Drosophila melanogaster: one gene and its partners. The protein of the gene in region 1 interacts with the protein of each later gene in a pairwise test. Each region holds a gene or a part of one and is shown on either strand. Other genes may lie near its edges. The genes, in order: Ugalt, CG14042, CG30423 and Srg2.

Region 1 (4,762 bases):
CTGCGCGTCTTCGAACTCGTGATGTCCCTGCAGACTCAATCCAATGACGTTGGCCTCGCCTGGCTAGATTAGCGTCCCCACCCACCTCCTTAGCACCTAATGTCATGTACCACACTTAATTTAAATCAATACTCTCTTCTGTAGCCATCGCAACCGCATCACTTCGCAGCCAATAAAGCTTATATTAAGTCTTCTGGCGGATGGCTAAGATTTTGCTTTAGTTTTAAAAATGTTCCGTAATCCCACACTCGCAAATGCACATACTTTTGAATGGTATCTGCTGAATTTGCAACACGTTATGATTTTTATTAAGGTGTTTTTTTTTTTTAAGGGTAGAGGCAAAGGTTTACTCTTTTATAGATGAACTAAAGTTCTTCAGTTAAGAGGAAACCTTCCTTGGCCAATAAAGCAAAAAACTGACCCCAAAACCTTTGTTGTGCTTTTACTTATCGTGGGTTGAAAGTTGTTATTACTTTTTGATGGAGTAAAATACGCCTTTTATTCGTCTAATATTTATTCAAAGGAAATGAAACATATCGATATGGAATCACTCTTAAAACACTGTGCGAGTAATGCGACTTTAGTTCAAATACAAATATATAAGTCTGGGCTGGCTCAACCTAGGATTTCTCAAAAATAAAGTAATTGGCAATGAATAAATAATGCACATTCAAGTAAATATATATACATATATATGATCTTCTAAAAAAAAAATTCGAACAAAAGTAGTTGTGGCTGTGAATTGGCCGAACATCAAGTGTAACTTGAAAACTATAAATCGTTACAAATCTTAGTCTAAACTTGAGTGCAAGTGGATATTTACAAAAGGATAGGCACGGTATGTGTGGTGTTGTCCAGTAAATACTGCTGGCATTCCTCAGCATTCGCAAAGTAACAATTAAAATGATCAATAAAACGTGCATTCAAGCTGCATCATTTCATTAACTACACTTTAGTTTCGCTAGTGAATACCCTAAATACATTTAAATTACATAAATCATTAAGTATTCTTATCGCTGCTTTACATTACAATTATCGTCTCAACAGAAAGTGCTACGAATTGTCCAGACGTTAATATCCATCCTAATATATATACACACAAAACGTGGGGAATATCAAGGACACCGGATGCACCGGATACACCAGAGCAATTACCGAACGGCGGCCTCCGGGTTACGGACAAATACTGTTGGCAGATCCGGATTCCTCCAGAGCTAGACGCGCGGCAGCAGCTTCTCCTCATCGCCGCCAGGACCATGCATAGTTGGCTTCGGCGCCGACCTGGCCGGATCGTAGCCGTAGAGAAATATGGAGGCGATGACCAGGCCAGCTCCGAAGCTGAACTGCAGCGTGAGATTGAAGTCGAAGATGTATATGGAGGCCACGCACGAGATGATGATGGCCAGCGAGGTGGCGAAGCCCTTGAGAATGTTATCCGCGTACTTGACCACCACGGCAACGATCAATCCACCGCCGGCCTGCAGCAGGACCAGGTACCAGACAAACAGATCGTAGCCCTTGAAGAATCCCTGGTCGAAGATCCTACTGCCGTCGTTAACGAAACAGGTGAGCAGGCCGAAGGGAATGCTGAGCAGACTCAACTGCACATTCCGCATCCACACGGAGATCTCGGCACCCTTGAGGATCTTCTCAAAGTAGATGCCCGCGAATCCGGAGAGGAAGCAGGCGCCCAGTGCGGCCCACAGTCCGAGCATCCTGTTCTGCTCGGGAGCACCGCCAGAGGAGGCGGCCGTGGCTGCAGCTGCGGCACCACCGGCTGAGCCACTCGTCGGACCCTCCGTTTGGGCCAACTGCACCAGGACGATGCCCATCACCAGGAGCAGCAGCGCACCCCACTGCGTGTTCAGCAGCTTGCGGCGCAGAATGACAACCGCGAACATGGCCGTGGTGAGAATCTTCAGCTGGTACGTCACCTGGTAGGTGGCCGCATCCAAATGGGAGGCAGAGACGTACAGCAGATTGTTTTGAACGATATAGACCAGCGAGGGGACGCACACCTTCAGCGTGTCCATGGGATTCGCAATGATGGTCTTGTGCAGCGAGCGTACAAACTTCTGGGCATCCTTGCCCTCCTCGTTGAAGACCAGGAACAGGCACGTGATCAGTTTGGCGAACTCTGCCATGAGTACGGCTGCGAAAGAGGGCGCAAAATGGCAATCAATCAATCAAATATATGTACATATATACTAATAAGTCCAAGTATCGCTGTTCGGGTTTTCAAATAAGTCCGGTTAACTTACACACAGAGTCACCAAAGCAATAACCAAAGTTTAATGGCAAAATGTAAACCCATATGTAATTCAAGAATGCCAACCAAACCTCCTTGAGCTATCGCGGTAGAAGTTCCCCAACAGTTTTATCAAGCTATTAGGAGCTAAATGCGGAAGTGGCTGCTTATCAGTTTCTTTGGCAGCTTCACATCTACCCGAACGACCATTCCCCGCCTGCCACTGCTCCTACACCACCTTCACCTCCACCTCTTCGACTCGTTTGCTTTTACTGCTGATGTTGCTGCTTGCGTGGACAGACCCACGTCGAGGTTTCGTGGAAGTGGCTCTGGGCAACGAGGTGAATCTGCTAAGCGGTGAACCGGCTTGACCTGCTGAGCCCGACGACCTGTTGGACTTTTGGATAAGCACTCACCCGTGGAGCTGAGGAAGATGTCGCCTGGCCGGGTGCGGGCGTAGCGCATGCTGAGGCCCAGGATGGCATTCTGCAGGGTCAGCGTCAGCAGGCTGATGTACTTCAGCGTATTGGCGTTCACTGTGCGATGGGAATAGGAATACGTGACGGGGGCGGGCAGGAGCGCCATGTCAGTACCGCTGGAGTAACGCCACCGCACTAAAGGCCAAATACTCACTGTGTATGCTATTCATGGTGCTACGCTTCTAGCTCTATTGTCTCAACTCCAAAACCAAATAGAAACCGAAGGCAAACAAAACGCCGTAGTTGGGGGTACACAAAGACTCCGTTCCTGGCCAAGATCAGTTGTCGGCGGGCCGTTCCGTTTGGCAGTTCGTTCCCTTCAAGTTGGCCAGAAAAGCAGAAGAGCGCAAATGAAGACGACTCCACTGGACCGGGCGACACGTAAACAACAATCAGAGCCCGAAGCTTCTGCCAGCGGCGGCTTTTTATCGCCGCCTATGTGGTTGTTGTTGCTGCGCGCCAGGGACGTGGTCCTGGGCTTGCAACGGGGGTCATAAATGCGAAACCTTCTTAATTGAATGCAAACAAAATTTAAAAGTGCATTGTGCATTTCAGTAAAGTAAATACACCTTACATATGCTCCTGGGGGATGGATCCCCATTTTAAAGCAAGCTACGCCCATGGCGTGCAGCTTTTGTTGCTATTTTCGCAGCAGAGACCGACTTTTCGATAGTCACAGTGCTGGCATTGTGGCGGAACTCGCGAAAAAAGAAGTTGCTTGCAAAAAAAGCTAGATATACAATAATCGGGCATTGAGATTGCTTAAATTAATGTATATATTATGACTTTAAAATTAAAATTAAAATTTAACAAGAGAGCATGGGGATCGAAAGTAGAAAACAAGAAAACTCATGGACGAAATACATAAATACATATTGTGCATGCTTGTTCTACATGCACATGTATGTTAAATTTTTAAGCCCAGCGAAATTTATTTTTGCCGCACTAGGTTGGCTATTTACTCAGCTGCCGTTGAAAATACGTCATGAAAGCCAGTATATGCAGACAATTAAAATAAACATAAAACATCAAATTAAGCCAGTGAATGATGAACAACCTGTTGGCGGCACCTGATAATTGCGATGCATCAAATTTACAATACAACATTACAAATATATTGCCATTTGGGGGGATTAAATAAATTAATTTAATCAAATGCAATAAATGAAAACATTAATAATTTCCGTGTTGATTTTAAATCTTTTACTTTTTTGAGTTCATCACTAGAATTCGCTTTCGCCTGCCGCCTATCGATAACATTGCTCGGTGTGGCGATTTCGTAAATAGTTTTCTAACTGAATAATGGTAACAGTTGGCCACTTTAGTTGATAATTCATAATTGCAAAGACCAGAGACGCCAGGACACGATGAAGGAACAGCCGCTAAAGGAGATCACACAGCTCATCCACGCCATCAAAGTGGGGTAAGTCGTCGGTTGGCAGGCACTGCGATTCATTTGGTTGTTAAAGTGGCATATGTTTTGCAGGCTGGTGGAGGGATCCTACAACATAACCAACAAGACGCTGGACATCTTCAAGTACATCATCATGAGCAAGAGCTGGCAGAACGCCGAGTGAGTTGCAAGGGATGGCACACCAAGGATAACACATTAACTGATAAACAACTCCCCCTCATTTGACAGTGCTCTCATGCAGATTGTGCGCGACCAGTGTAAGATCCTGCAGGCAGCTCTGCCCCAGGAGACGGTTACCTCGAACATTGCCAGGCGGATCCTCAAGCTGACTCGCGAGGAGTTCGATCTGTTGCACGCCAAGGTGCAACACTTCGCGGACGACTCACAGGCCTCGCTGTCGCTTCACAAGCTAGTCACGCAGACCAGCGAGAGCAACGTCAGCGTAGATTACTCGGTGCCCCAGCATGGATTGCGGGAAGCGCTGCTCGACCACCTGCAGGAGGTGGAAACGGAGCTGGAGACCAGTTCGGAGAACATCTGCGTCCAGGCCGAGGAGCACATCCATTCGTCGGAGATCATCTTGACACTGGGACACTCGCGCAGCGTCGAGAATTTCCTCAA
Region 2 (5,496 bases), on another chromosome or scaffold:
CGAACAAGGATGGTGTGCTGACGCTGGAGGAATTCGTTTTATTCCAAAATCCCGAGGAGCATCCACAAATGTTGCCAATACTGCTGGAGCACACGATGCAGGACAAAGATGCGGATCACGATGGCAAGATCAACTTCCAGGAGTTTGTCGGCGACGCAGCCTCGCACCACGACAAGGAGTGGCTGATCACGGAGAAGGAGCGCTTCGACAAGGATCACGACTCCAATGGCGATGGCGTGCTGACGGGCGATGAGGTCTTATCCTGGATTGTGCCAAGCAATACGGCAATTGCCAACGACGAGGTGGACCATCTCTTTGTCTCCACCGATGAGGATCACGACGATCGCCTGTCCTACCTGGAAATACTCAACAACTACGATACCTTTGTGGGCAGTGAGGCCACCGACTACGGCGACCATTTACAAAACATTAACCATCTCTCCGACGAGCTCTAGATGCCATTCAAAGCCCCATCGTGCTATAGTGAACCTGTGCTTAGTATTGTATTTCGTTTAAATAGTTAGTAAATTTATGTTTATTTATGTAAATTCAAGTGACAATTGCAAATCAATATCGCCAAATTCTTTTGAGCACTTCTTACGAATTTAATTTTCAATACTATTTCGTTTGTTTCGTCATGTATCAATTACATTATGTGTAGTAATTTATATAAACAGAAACAAAAATCTACATAAAGCGTACTAAATAATTTTTACTAAATTACACTTTGCTTTATATGCAATTTATGACTAGACACATTTTCATTTTGTTACATTACAGTACTTAGGCCTTAATTGCTGTCTGCGAATTTACAAAATTAGTTTAGCAGCGTGTTCTTTTTGACTAGATTTCACACTCGTCTGTACCGAAAAATATGCTTAGCTCTAGATTATTTTGCGATTTTCTAGCAAGCACTTGAAGCCCCGAAAAACGTTTTTCTCATTTCTTATATCACAAATATTGCACCAAATTGGCCTATTTTCCCACATTTTCGCTACAAATGAAGACAAATCAAAAGGTCGGACGACTATTATCCACACAAATTCCGAATGCTTAAACTTAGCACGCTCTAAAGCTACTACGAGAAATGCACACGTCCCAGAGGAGCCACTGCATCGTCTGGTAGTCATTGGGCACTCCAATATGTGATGGCACTAAAATCATTCACGGGCCTCATACAAATCGTAATTCATAATGCACATCTCCAGCTGATTCACCTGGGGGCGAGGACGTACTCTATAAACTTAGCTTACGTTGACCGGACACGATCCGAGCTCTACAAATCACACAGTATATCGTAGTTGTCTACCTGACGCAGTGGCTTCTTCTCGTCGATCACCTCGCTCAGATAGTCGGCGATGGGCAGCGGCAGCTTCAGCTTCTCCAGCTGCGCAGCGCTTCGTACGCGGCGCATGATCACCGCCCGACAGCGATCCTGTAGGTTGACGAACTCCCTCCTGGTGCACTTTAGGGTCATCTCCGTTTTGGCGGCAGTAGAGCATACGATGGGGTACAGGGGCTCATCAATCTGTTGGGCAGTTAGGCGAGATTCTAGAGCCTGATCCTTGGAGGATTGAACAATTCAACCGGACTCACCTGATCCAATCCGCGGAAAGCAACGCCCAGGCACTTGCCATCCTTGTAGAAGGTGAGTGTGCCCTCAATGCCATCGAAGAGAACGCCAATTTGGGTGGGTTGATTCTCGCGGAACCGCTTCGTGTACAGCAGGGCCACGCCCTCGTGCCAGAGCACGCCCTTGTGGGACAGTCCCCAGCCGTGTTCGTTCTCGCCCAGCATGTTCCGGAAGGCGTTGGCATGTAGCCGTGCCGACTTGGTACCGATACCGAACATTATCGAGGTGCCAAAGACGCGCTGCGAGACATGAAGCTCCCAGTAATGCCGTCCGTTATTCAGGGATCTTTTGCCCTGGACACCGGCAGTGCCCTTGCTCCAGTTGGGATGGAAGTGCACGGTCCGCGAGTTGGGTCCTCTGAGCACCACTTCCTTGGAGCGGTGCCGCTTGCTCCACGTCCAGTTATCCTCAACGCCATTGGGCAGCGGACAGAAACGGGGTGGCGGCGATGTGGAAGATGATGCATCCAGTGAACCGGACGACAACCCTCCTGTTACTCCTCCTCGTCGACCGGTTGGACGACGTCTCCTCGGGGCAATTGCCGCTATGGGATGGGGGTGAGCCTGCTGTGGATCCACTTCAACATCAGACATTGTGTTGCGACTAGAAATTTTTTCGCTTCTCAATTTGTATCAATTTGACAAAGGGAACCCTTCGAACTGTTGGGAGGGGGGGGGGGGGTTAAGTTTTCAATAGGGTTGGCTTCCTGGGGTTGATGAGCTTCTCCAGGTCTCAAAAGTTGTTGAAATCGTTCAAGGAGCGGCTTCAGGGGTGGCGTCTTTAGCTCGTAGTTGTTTGTTCTTTCGTTTCTCTGGTGGTTAACTATGTTATACAATTTTTTTCAATACATCTTTATAGCATAGTTTTTATGAAGGGTTCTTCAGTTCTCCAGACGAACTCCAAGTGGATGATTCTTTATGCAAGGATGAGACCAAGAGGCGTTTATCTACAAGTAAGTGGTTAGTAGGGGCTGTTGGATATCCTCCTGCGGCAGGTCCTGCAGCTCCGCTTCCTCCTCCAGTGGAACGTCCTCAATAATATCCTGATCGAAGGACGCCTCCTCCTGCTCCTGCGATCCAACGCTGGTCAGTGAAGCGTAACCACTGCTCAGGGAACTGCTGCTCCAGCTGGCACTCAGTCGGACTGGACGATAGCTTCTCGTCGGTTGCAGTTGCTGCTGCTGCTGGCCAAGAGTCCGCTTTAGCTCCCGCTTGATTCGGCGAATCTGCCGGAAATCCTGCTCACCACCGGAACCCCTCTGCCTGTGCAGCTGCAGCTCCTGCAGATGGAAGTGATGGCGACAGTAGCCCTGCGGACTGTGAGCACAAAATCGACAGGCCTCGGAATTGAGGCCACCAACGAGCGGAAGGATTGGTTCGAGGATGCGACGCTTCTGGCTGCGCTTCTGTTGCTCCAGCTGCTGCTCCGCCAGGCGCTGTGGCGCCTTACGATCGCCCACCGTTTCGGCCACCTCCTGCAGCAGGCGCACGTTCCTCGGGAAGCATCGGTCGTGGACGTAGAGCACCAGGCGTTGGCAGTAGAGGCACAGCGATTGGAACAGCAGCAGCAGGACGATAATCATAAATATGTAGGGGTGGTGGTGTGTCCTCTTCCTTTTTTTTTTTTTTTTTTTTGGTGGGGCGGAAGACTGCTGCTTCTTGGGAGTCTCTGATTTTGGTGGTGCACTTCCCGTTGGCTTTGTGGTCTTGTTAGTTTATGCAAATTTCACGCTGCTTTCCAAACGAGAGCTCGCAATTTTCACTGTTTTTTTTTTCGAGGTACACACATTTTTTCCGTCTTGCTGCTCCTCCACACCTACAAAAAGCAGCTCCTCTTATCTGGCTGAAGTTACAACTCCCACCGACGACCGCCTCCGCTTGCGTCCAAGTCACACTGGCTTCTGGCACTTTTTTTCCAACTCACTTTTACGATTCCAACTTGAATCGCCCCACAAAGGCCTACCCTTATTTTCCACGACCTGCTTCCAACCACCAATTGGACTTTGTGCGCGTGTGTGTGTCTGCATATCATTATCATATGGCTCGGTCCACCCCACTTTATGCCCCGCAAACCGTCCACGGCGACCCCAATCGTCATCGCCACCCCCTTGACAGCTAACCAACCCCCTCCCCCACCGCAAATCCGCACAAAGAGAGGCAATGGCATGCGCACAAGTGCACGAGGTGAGTTCGCTCTCATCCTTGGCTTGGCATTGCTTTTTTAAGGGTTCTCCGCGACGGGGTTTCCACCACAATAGCCTACCCTTAGCCCTGGTCTTTTGAGGAAGATCTTATCACTCAATGTTAGGGGTAAAAAGTATGCAGTATTTGTCTTGCAGGAAGTTTATCACTGAAGGGCATACGATTTTTTATCCTCAACAATATTTGCTCTAAATAGGCTTGTATGAAATTGTGGTCGTAATTTGTATTTATAAATTTTAGTTTATTTTAAAACGATATGCGACAAGTTTTGTATAGCAGTTGAGGATTCGATTCGTTCGATATTCGTTCGATACCGCGTTTTGTTGCATTGTTTCGCATTTAATCGGTTTCAAAAATAAATGGAACATGCTGGCACATAGTTTATTTTATACTTTTGGACATACGACCGAGGCTAGTTTATTTATTTGTTTCATTTACTTAACATACGTAACGTAACTTAGAAGCAGTTTACATTTGTTTAGAACATTAATTGGCAGATAAAAAATGGCATTGTGGTCCAGGTCGGTCGGTAATTAGCACTTCGACTTGTGGATCCGTTTTTTTTTCTTTTTGGTTAGATTAAGGAATTTGTAGCAGTGTTGGTTCGTCGGTGTATGTATGTGTGTGTGTGTGTTGGTTTGTTTGTTTGTGTTTGTGTTGTGATCGTGTGGGTGTGCACACGATTCGTTGGTAATTTTAAGGCTTTACATTTAGATTAAACTTATGCTCTGTGCTGTGGGTGTGTCTGTGTTGGGATTGGAGGTCCTACGAGGAGTTCTTCATGCACACCTGGCACCTGGACACATGCGACTGCCGCTCGCCGGCCTTGATCGTCTGCTGCTGTGGCCTCTCGAACGGCTGTGAGGACTCCAGGTTGTACATCCAGAAGCTTGTCATCGTCTCATAGAAGTGGCACGTGCCCTTGGCGCCGTTGCACTCGATGAAGGGCGTTGCACGGAAGTCCTCCAAACAGGAGCCAGGCGATTGCAGCGCCTGTCCACCGCCACCGTTGCCCACGGCAGTGTGCTATTATAGGAAATGGTTGGGTTAATATTAGCATCATTATAAAAGAACTATTTAAAATCCCACAAGTAGTTAGGAATAAAGGTTGAAAATTAAAACTATTGTATCAAATCTTTCGCTACGCAGTATCCAACAGATGGCGCAAGAGTGTCGTTGGAACGTGCGCCATCTGCTGGAAAGCTAGGGAAACTTCGGAAACGCATCCCTTGTGGATTTTGAAAACTCTCATCATTCTTCTATAATCTAACGTTATAAGTGTTCCGATACTCACCATGAGGAAACTGTAGCCAATCCAGAGACCCTCCCAGCCATTCGGACAGTCGGGCACCTCTATCGTTTGACTGTGCACGGCGATCACATTAGCCGGCGCCTCACAAACGACGCAACGTGAGATGTACTGGCGGATCTCGATGTTTTCAACGGGCATCATCGGAATGGCGGCGTTGGTTGTCAGCCAGAAGGTCTTGTCATTTCTGGAGGCGTAGTTGCAGACGTTATTCTGACCACACGACAGTACGGGCAGCGTTGAGAAGCGTGGCACACAGGATCCGGGGGATCCAAGGTCCTGGTTGTGGGCATAGTCATTGCCATCGACGTACAACAGGGAGTAACCCGTCCACAGTTCCGTGTGTCCAGCCG
Region 3 (2,951 bases), on another chromosome or scaffold:
GCCCGAACACTCAGGCTGCGTGTGTGGGTACATGGGTGTACGGGCTTATAGGTGAATGGGTGTGTAGTGCGCTATTTTTAGGCTTACCTGGGTAAACGGACATTTCGCAATGACCCAATATGCTGCACAGTAGCGTTGCAGCGAGCGCCAAGCTAACGGTGATTTCCAGGCGAGCCGCCATCTTGCACTTGCCACCAAATGCACTCCCACTTGCGGATTTCTCGAGACCTCAGAAATCAATTTCGAATGGGAACTATCTAGCACTGCACGACCTCTGCCACCACTGCCATATGGCCGGTTAATGGGGCTTTGGCTAGAACGACGACGTCGACGAGGGTTATTGATTTTCAACACCCACACTCGCACACACTTGCGAATATATCCAATTGGCAGCTGCTGGTGGTTGCTCCCCGAACTTTTGCACTTTCGCGTGGGCGTGCAATATTTCTGGCTAGTAACCTGCGCCAACTGCACTTCTCGAGGATTTTTGGGGGTTATTAGGTGTCCTAGCAAAGGTTATGCTGCACTCTACCGGGTGGTTAAAATGTCAAATGGTGCACTTTTCTCACAGATTGCTGGCGAAGAAGCTCAGATGGACATATGGCTGTGGGGATATATGCGGATGGGACTCGACTCCTGGGCTGCGTTGCTCCGCTGTCGACGTATACCGTTATACTGAAGAAACTGAATGAGCCTGGCGGCGGCAAAAAGCCCGAGAAGAAGCAGAAGCTGTGACGCAAATGTTAGGTTCGCCCCCGCGCTGTTAAATGTTGCGGGCAGCTTTTGAGGGCAGGCCGCGCAGCAACAACAACAACCAGAGGGGCACAGTAGTCAAAAGCAGCGCATGCGCACAGTGGGGCTGAAAAGCTCGGCACGTCCGTTCCTTTATTCTTTGAGTAAACACGGGCATTCATAAAGAGCCGAGACGAGGCCAAGGAGACTCTCGGCCAGCTAGCAGGTGGCTGCCACTCACGAATTCCGAAGCCCCGTCAGCCAACTCCACGCCCGCTTTGGGAGAACCCTCCCTTTCCTCCAGCTTCCTCGCTTGGGATAGGGCGTGCTTAATTTTTATCAATGAATTGGCAGCCAAAGAGCTTTTCTCACCGGCAAAGGACTGCGGGAGTTATGGTAGGCCGAATAGTGTATGTGTAGCATTGGTCCTGATGTCCGAATCGGTTGGGAGAAATACCCCCAAGTGGATCTCGGATTCTTACGCGAAATGATTTCGTAACAGATTATCGGGGAATACTCATCTTTTCCTTGCTTTCTTTTCATTGATTAGTCGTTGATAAACGGACTTTTAAAAGACATTTAATAAAAAAGCTTTTAAAAACTTAAAAACCAAAGGTAAGTCCTTTAATAAAGCATTTCATGGAGGTTCGGAGAAAATTAGCATATAAATTGAAAATACATTTAATTAGACCTGGAAGAATTTAAAATCGAATTTAATAAATTATTTTTAACGGTATATACTAGAATCGGTATATTACGTTTAAATAATTTTGAATGGTCATGTTTCGGTCATACTGATGAACTGGTTCATCTGGAACTACACATCTGAGTCATTTTTAGGAGCGACAAAGGAAAAATTATAAACAAATACAATGGCCACCTTAAAGGGTAATTATGCACAACAGTCTCTAGCAAATCTAATGGCTTACATTCTTCGCCTACATCAACACCAACTGGAACCCGCTACACGCCTCTTTTGAAACCATCACACAGCGTATGTCTACAACTACACCCACTCCTGCAGCCAACCGTCTGATAATGATTCCCCTCTTTGTGCAGCCTCTTCATCTGCGCCTTTCTTACATGCATTGGTGTTACCTTCCTGATCCTGGCCTGCGCCGTGCCCACGACAAAGATTTTCTATCCCTTCTTCGTTTTGCTGTTCTACGTGCTGTCAGTTCTTCCAGTCTTCATTGCCAGGAGGACAACTCCTGGAAATGAGACCAATCCGAAATCGGAGTTTGCTCACTTCCTTACCGCGGGAATGGTGCTGAGTGCCTTCGCCCTGCCCATCGTCCTAGCCCACGCATTGGTGGTAAGTGGACACACGGAGCTATTGGGATTTTAAGAGTGTTAAACACGCGATGTCATTCTTAACAGATCACCTGGACGGCGAGTATCCTGACGATAATAAGTAACATTATTAACTACGGCACCATCTTCTGGTACGCCATGCGCGATGACGAGCCATACGGATCCATGTTCTAGAGGGGATTTGTAGTTCACAAGCTCACTAGGCTAGTAACCGGCGCAGGAATATCACCGATGCACTGGGTCCTAGGGTTACGGCCATTTATCCGTAAGCACGCATGCTGTTCGCTTATCCGCAGTCATCAACAAATCTCATATAATCAAATGTATCCAGATAAACGCAAACAAAATAAACTGACGTAGTAGACATTGTCTGGTTCCGGTTCTTTTTGCTGGTTCGATATCGATATCTAAACCACTATTCCATAAGCAGTAATTCTCTCCACTGGCGTATCAAGGAGGGATTAGCTCTCAGTTTTCACTCACTTAATTGAACTGGAAATATTTATAGTCGAAAAAAAATAGCCTGGATGGTGTTCATTTGGCTGCACTGGAACTAGGAACAAGCATTCAGTTGTTAAATATACAAATTTGTAAATATCCTTGCTGGATAAATGAATAGCGGTGTGGCGTTCCTTTTTTCATTGGCGAAAGTACACGTCCTTTGACAAATGGAGTTACACCTCATTTGAGCCCATAACATGGACAGGATTATAAAATCTGAAATCAAGAAGGAACAGATCACGGGTATTCCTTCGGTGGCCCTTCATGGCATCGAGAACTCGATGCAGGACGATAGAGATGTCAACACTGACGTGGAGGAGGACTTCACGGAGGAGGAGTTGGAGCTATTCACAGATCAGGATTCAGACACGGGAGATTCTGATGTGTCGCTCACGCAGCCTGAG
Region 4 (4,887 bases), on another chromosome or scaffold:
ACCTGTCCACCTGTTGATGCGATCCAGTGAACAGAGGGCGTTGGTTGCCCTGAGACACCTTCAAAGGCCATATATGGTGACCAGTGAAATGCTACTGAGATTGGATGAACACAAACAGTATGTGGCCGACAACAGGGAAATGTGTTTAGGATCGAGTCTGCAGAAAGGGTATCCATCGGTTCTTAAGCTTTTGGCCCTTCGATTGTTGGGAGTCCTGTCCCTGAACTCCATCATATGCAGTGCTCTCTATGAAACCGGTAATCAGTTGGTCAGCTGCTTGTATGCATGGCCTTTTGTGGTTTTCGGGCTGCTCCGGTGGGGCGGATGCTTTTTTGCGGTGCTTTTGATGGACACCACAGGCCGTAAGAAACCGACCCTTTTCGGAATCTTTTCCACCGGAGCCTTTGCCATCGCATATGCCAACTTATTTGGCCGAACTCCTCATATGATCACCGCCCTGGTGATGCTTTTCAGTCTCCAATTCTTCGAGGGACTGGGACAATGTGCATCGGCGGTTTACCTCACTGAAGGCTTTCCTCTACTAATGAAACCACATATGGTGGCTGTGGTATACATAATGGAACAAGCCGCACGACTGCTCCTCTGTAGCTTTTTACCATCGATCGCAGAAATAACAGCATACTTTCACTCCATGGGAGCACTTTCCATGGTGTGTTTTCTTCTCGGAATCTTCTGCCTGCCCGAAACTAGACTAGTTACTTTGGCAGAAGCACAGCTCAAGTTTTCAAAGTGGTTCAACAAGGATTTTTAGGTATAAGTGGGTAGGGGGAAAATAAATGTTTATATGTAACAACAATTAAGAATGTATTTTGTTAAAGCGCATTAAAGTAGTAGTAGTTTATTTGTAATTTTTGATACGATATTTTTAATCAGGTGCGATAATGCCCAATTACATAAACTATTTGCACAGCCGCTGAGTGTTGATTGGTTGAGTGGTTTAGTATTGATCACAAACAAATGAGGATATATGTAGAAGTACAATATCCATGAGTCGAATGGACCCAAAAAAAATCTGACAGAATCTATGACCACAGTTTCAGGAAGTAAAACAAATTGAGGCCAAGCACCTGGGAATCAGGTTGGTGATTCCCGAAACAATAATCTTATCTAGACTGGTCGAAACGTGGTAATTCAGGCTAAACATTCTGGCTTATTTCTGAATTCTGAATTTGGAATATCTTCATGATATGCTTCAATACTACTGGCAGACGAAGCCGCAATAATTTTCTAAAAACAAAAAAAAAGTGACCTTGACCTTGAGCCAGAAAAAACAATACAGGTGTGCCTTTCTGGTGATTCAATAAAAGATATAATGATAAAGAAAACAAATCACGCTGATAATATACCTTATAATGACTTATTTTTTCTTAATTACTTCCTTTTTAGTATTGCCAACAAATAAAACCAAAAATAAATTCCCAGAAACAATCAATATCAGCAAATACATATTTATATGATATTATACGACAAATGTATGGCATTAAGTACTCAACAAAAGTGGGAAATAAAGGATATAAAAAAATTATACCTTATCTTTTCTTTATTTTTTCCGTTTTATCTTTTTATTAATTAAAAATTAATCCATGAACTTTAAATAGAAAATATTCTCTTAAAATTCTTATCTGAGCAATTAAACCACTTTTTAATAACTATATGGCGAGTATAAAAAGTATGAATCAGGCCTAATAACTATGATCAGTCATACCAACAGAAAAAGCAGGGGAAGACCCGTTCTCCGGTTCTTTAATTACGTCGAATGAATCAAAAGGGCTGTGATCTGTAGAGAGTTTTATATACCACATATGTACATCATAAAGTATTATTCACAAACATTGCGATAATCGTCCTTATCGGGCACGCGTATATTAAGTTTTGAAGCATTTACTGAAATAGATGCCGCCCCCTAGTGATAAGGGATTGAATCCGCACTTGATTATCAGTTGGGCAAGGCTCGATAGCAGTGCACATAAATATCATTTGGCCAGCCCCCGTATTAGCCAGTTTCAAATCGACCTCTACCGGAGCAGTTTGTCTTCGCAATAGAGTGAAATAGATATAAAGCGATCGGAAATTCAGAACGATAAGTTTGCCCCACCGCCGTTGGCCATGCAAAACGACAAGTATCCAGCGCCAATAGGCTTTTATCCACCACAAGGACAGCCGGGATATCCACAACCAGCGTCACAGCCAGGATACCCTCAGCCAGGGCAGCCGCAACACATCACACCGGCGGAGACATACGGACCACAACCACCGCCAATGCCACCGCGGGATCCACACACCAGAGTGGATCCACCAGGAGGATGCTTTCAGCGCAACCAAAAGAACAAACCTCAATCCAATGCTGTGGGCGCAGGTGAGTTCAGTTCATTAGATCGATCAGCTTAGTCACCTACTGATGAGTAGTTGTTCACCACGAGGTTAATCTAATCTCGAGTGTTGGAAGTATGAATCTTTTTCTAGAGCCCAAGTAGATTATGATGACGATGACGTAAGTGCTAGTAGCCAAGCATTCGAATTTAATTATTTTAGTACTACGATAATCGAACGGCTTATACCAGTGACTTATGTTTCCATTAAAACCATTTGTGAAGATGTTGTACAACCCTAATCGATTGAAAATACTTAGGTATATTTTTACAACTAAATAGATTCGTTAAAAATTTAATAAAAATTAGTTTCGTAGTTGTAGTTTATAAAAAAAAGTTTCGACCCGAAAAATATGTACTTTCTAGTTCAAGATCAGAACCTGTCCGTATAAACGTCGTGATCTCAGGAAGATTGTAAAGACGCCTACTTATTTTGGCCAAAACGGCAACGTGGTTATGAATATTTAACTGAAAAGATTAAAATTTGACACCAATCCTTCGACAGACTTAAATCTATATATTTGATACTCTTTCAGCTGGTCTCATCTTTATCTCTGGAGGTATGAACATAGCGTGGGCGATTGGCTTCCAAGGACCAATCTATTACCAAACCACCAAGCACAATTACATTGCCTGGTTCATAGGCGCCATTATTGGAGCTTTGGTTACGATGGCGCTGACCAACAAGGTGGCCAAAAAATATATTCTGGTAAGCGGAGGAAGCCTGTTGGCACTTTAAGTTTTTATTAATCAATTCCTTTTACGCACAGCAATTTTCTTCAGTGTTGGTGACCGTCGGTGGATTGGTTATTGCCTGCACCCACAATAATGGAGCTGGAACCACGGCAGCTTGTTACCTAGATGGTATTGCCAATGGTCTGGTATTTGCCCCATTTATGGCGTTGGTCGGAGAGATCTCGGTTCCCTATTTGAGGGGCAAGGCCAGTGCCACCTTGGAGCAATTGTGCTTTGGAACCGGTATACTTCTTCAGATCCTTTATGTGTCAAATTGGACATATTCTTCGTATATGACATACAATGATTTTACGTCCGAGAATATGAAAGGAGTGCTGAGCACAATCTACGGCGTTTTGGCCCTTATTATGGGCTCATTTTTTACCATCGAATCGCCGGTTCTAATGCTGGCCAATAACGAAGAACAGGCGGCCATTGACGCACTGCGTCGGCTACAAAAGCCTGCGGTGCTAACCGAGGAAACTTACGAGCTTCTGGCGGAGCACAAACGCTACTTGGCCTACAACAAGAATATGTCAAAGAGTGAAAGCATTTCCAAAGCGCTGCCCACCTTCATGCGACTTGCATACCTGCGCGCCCTGAATGCTATGAGCATCTCCAGCTTTGTGATCATCACTTATGTCGTTGCGATCTTAGTCTCCAATGATTTAAGAAATGCGAGCTCCTGGTACATAGGATTAGCCTTTTGCCGTTGGTTGGGATCCCTAATCCCATCCTTTTGCATGGAGTCCTTGGGCCGAAAGAAGCCTGCGGTCTTTGGCCTGCTCGTAAGCTGCGGCTTGTCGTTTGCCGTGGGTTCACAGTACAATGTATATACGTATATGAGCCAAGTGACCGTCTTGATAATGATTTTCGAGTTCTTTGCCGGTATGGCCTTCTCATCCAACTCGGCCTACCTGACGGAGGCATATCCCATGGGAGTTAAGCAACACTTTATCGGTTTAACTTTCATCACCGAAATATTTGTCTTCCTCATCATAAATGTTTGTGACTTCAATTTTGGACAAGGCTACAACTACTTCTACATCATGGGAGCCATGTACCTGGCGGGAGTGATTCTCGGAGTCCTTACACTGCCGGAGACAAGGAGGATGACCTTGCAAGGTGCCCAGGAGCAGTTCAATAAATTCGTTAACTTCCGCTTTTAATGTTCAAAGGAATTATAGATTAATAAATCTACTATTAAAGTGCAAGAGGTCTAAGGCCTCTGTATTCCTCCACATAACGATACTCACTGTTTTTTAATCATTCATAATATAAAATTATTAAGTATAAATTATTCGGCGCCCAACTTGTTTTTTCGCTTTTATATTTTTCAACCTAAGTTATAATGCTTTACAACAGCCATATAAATAGTTATTATCTTAATACTACCGTATGATAAGGTGATGAGACATTCAAAACATATTTTTGTGGAAGCGTAATAAATTTCAAGCATATTAACATTGGTAATAAAATAGAATCACAATTGGGAAGCACCTTAGAAACGTATGTTTACCTGATTAAACTGTTATAAAAACAAACCAAATCCGTTCAATGCTTCTTTTAGTGGCAATAAAACCAACGAATATGCTTTGATACGACGCTCTGCTAATATCGCCATTTGCAGCTTATCAATAACGTATTGATTTGGTATTGACTATATGGCTTTCTATTTGAAGGGAATTTCCAACGAACTGTTATTTGCTCCTATATGACAAACAATCATTACATTAAATATCATTACAATATTTTGAAAGCA

What was found.
Region 2: the proteins of Ugalt (region 1) and CG14042 interact in a two-hybrid assay, tested with the Drosophila melanogaster proteins (one large-scale study listed by BioGRID).
Region 3: the proteins of Ugalt (region 1) and CG30423 interact in a two-hybrid assay, tested with the Drosophila melanogaster proteins (one large-scale study listed by BioGRID).
Region 4: the proteins of Ugalt (region 1) and Srg2 interact in a two-hybrid assay, tested with the Drosophila melanogaster proteins (one large-scale study listed by BioGRID).

What each region holds. Positions count from the first base shown.
Region 1 is NC_004354.4:2,700,624-2,705,385, forward strand, and holds Ugalt (UDP-galactose transporter), read right to left. Parts: upstream 3,123-4,762; 5' UTR 2,898-3,122; coding exon of another isoform or gene 2,882-2,897; 5' UTR 2,834-2,881; coding exon 2,665-2,833; intron 2,153-2,664; coding exon 1,215-2,152; 3' UTR 501-1,214; downstream 1-500. Other genes in the region: Lint-O (L(3)mbt interactor in ovarian somatic cells), read left to right, coding at 1-72; eIF2Bbeta (eukaryotic translation initiation factor 2B subunit beta), read left to right, coding at 4,095-4,150, 4,214-4,300, 4,370-4,762.
Region 2 is NT_033779.5:5,035,841-5,041,336, reverse strand, and holds CG14042 (uncharacterized protein), read right to left. Parts: upstream 3,629-5,496; 5' UTR 3,216-3,628; coding exon 2,580-3,215; 3' UTR 2,227-2,579; coding exon of another isoform or gene 1,597-2,226; intron 1,529-1,596; coding exon of another isoform or gene 1,277-1,528; 3' UTR 1,218-1,276; coding exon of another isoform or gene 1,161-1,217; 3' UTR 519-1,160; downstream 1-518. Other genes in the region: CG31650 (uncharacterized protein), read left to right, coding at 1-455; SP555, read right to left, coding at 1,161-1,217, 1,310-1,528, 1,597-2,226; Col4a1 (collagen type IV alpha 1), read right to left, coding at 4,600-4,860, 5,129-5,496.
Region 3 is NT_033778.4:24,874,434-24,877,384, reverse strand, and holds CG30423 (uncharacterized protein), read left to right. Parts: upstream 1-1,519; 5' UTR 1,520-1,604; coding exon 1,605-1,620; intron 1,621-1,725; coding exon 1,726-1,726; intron 1,727-1,791; coding exon 1,792-2,047; intron 2,048-2,112; coding exon 2,113-2,220; 3' UTR 2,221-2,409; downstream 2,410-2,951. Other genes in the region: CG44247 (uncharacterized protein), read right to left, coding at 88-181; CG16896 (uncharacterized protein), read left to right, coding at 2,745-2,951.
Region 4 is NT_037436.4:10,095,242-10,100,128, reverse strand, and holds Srg2 (Sting-regulated gene 2), read left to right. Parts: upstream 1-2,013; 5' UTR 2,014-2,127; coding exon 2,128-2,377; intron 2,378-2,926; coding exon 2,927-3,099; intron 3,100-3,160; coding exon 3,161-4,294; 3' UTR 4,295-4,375; downstream 4,376-4,887. Other genes in the region: CG42826 (uncharacterized protein), read left to right, coding at 1-772.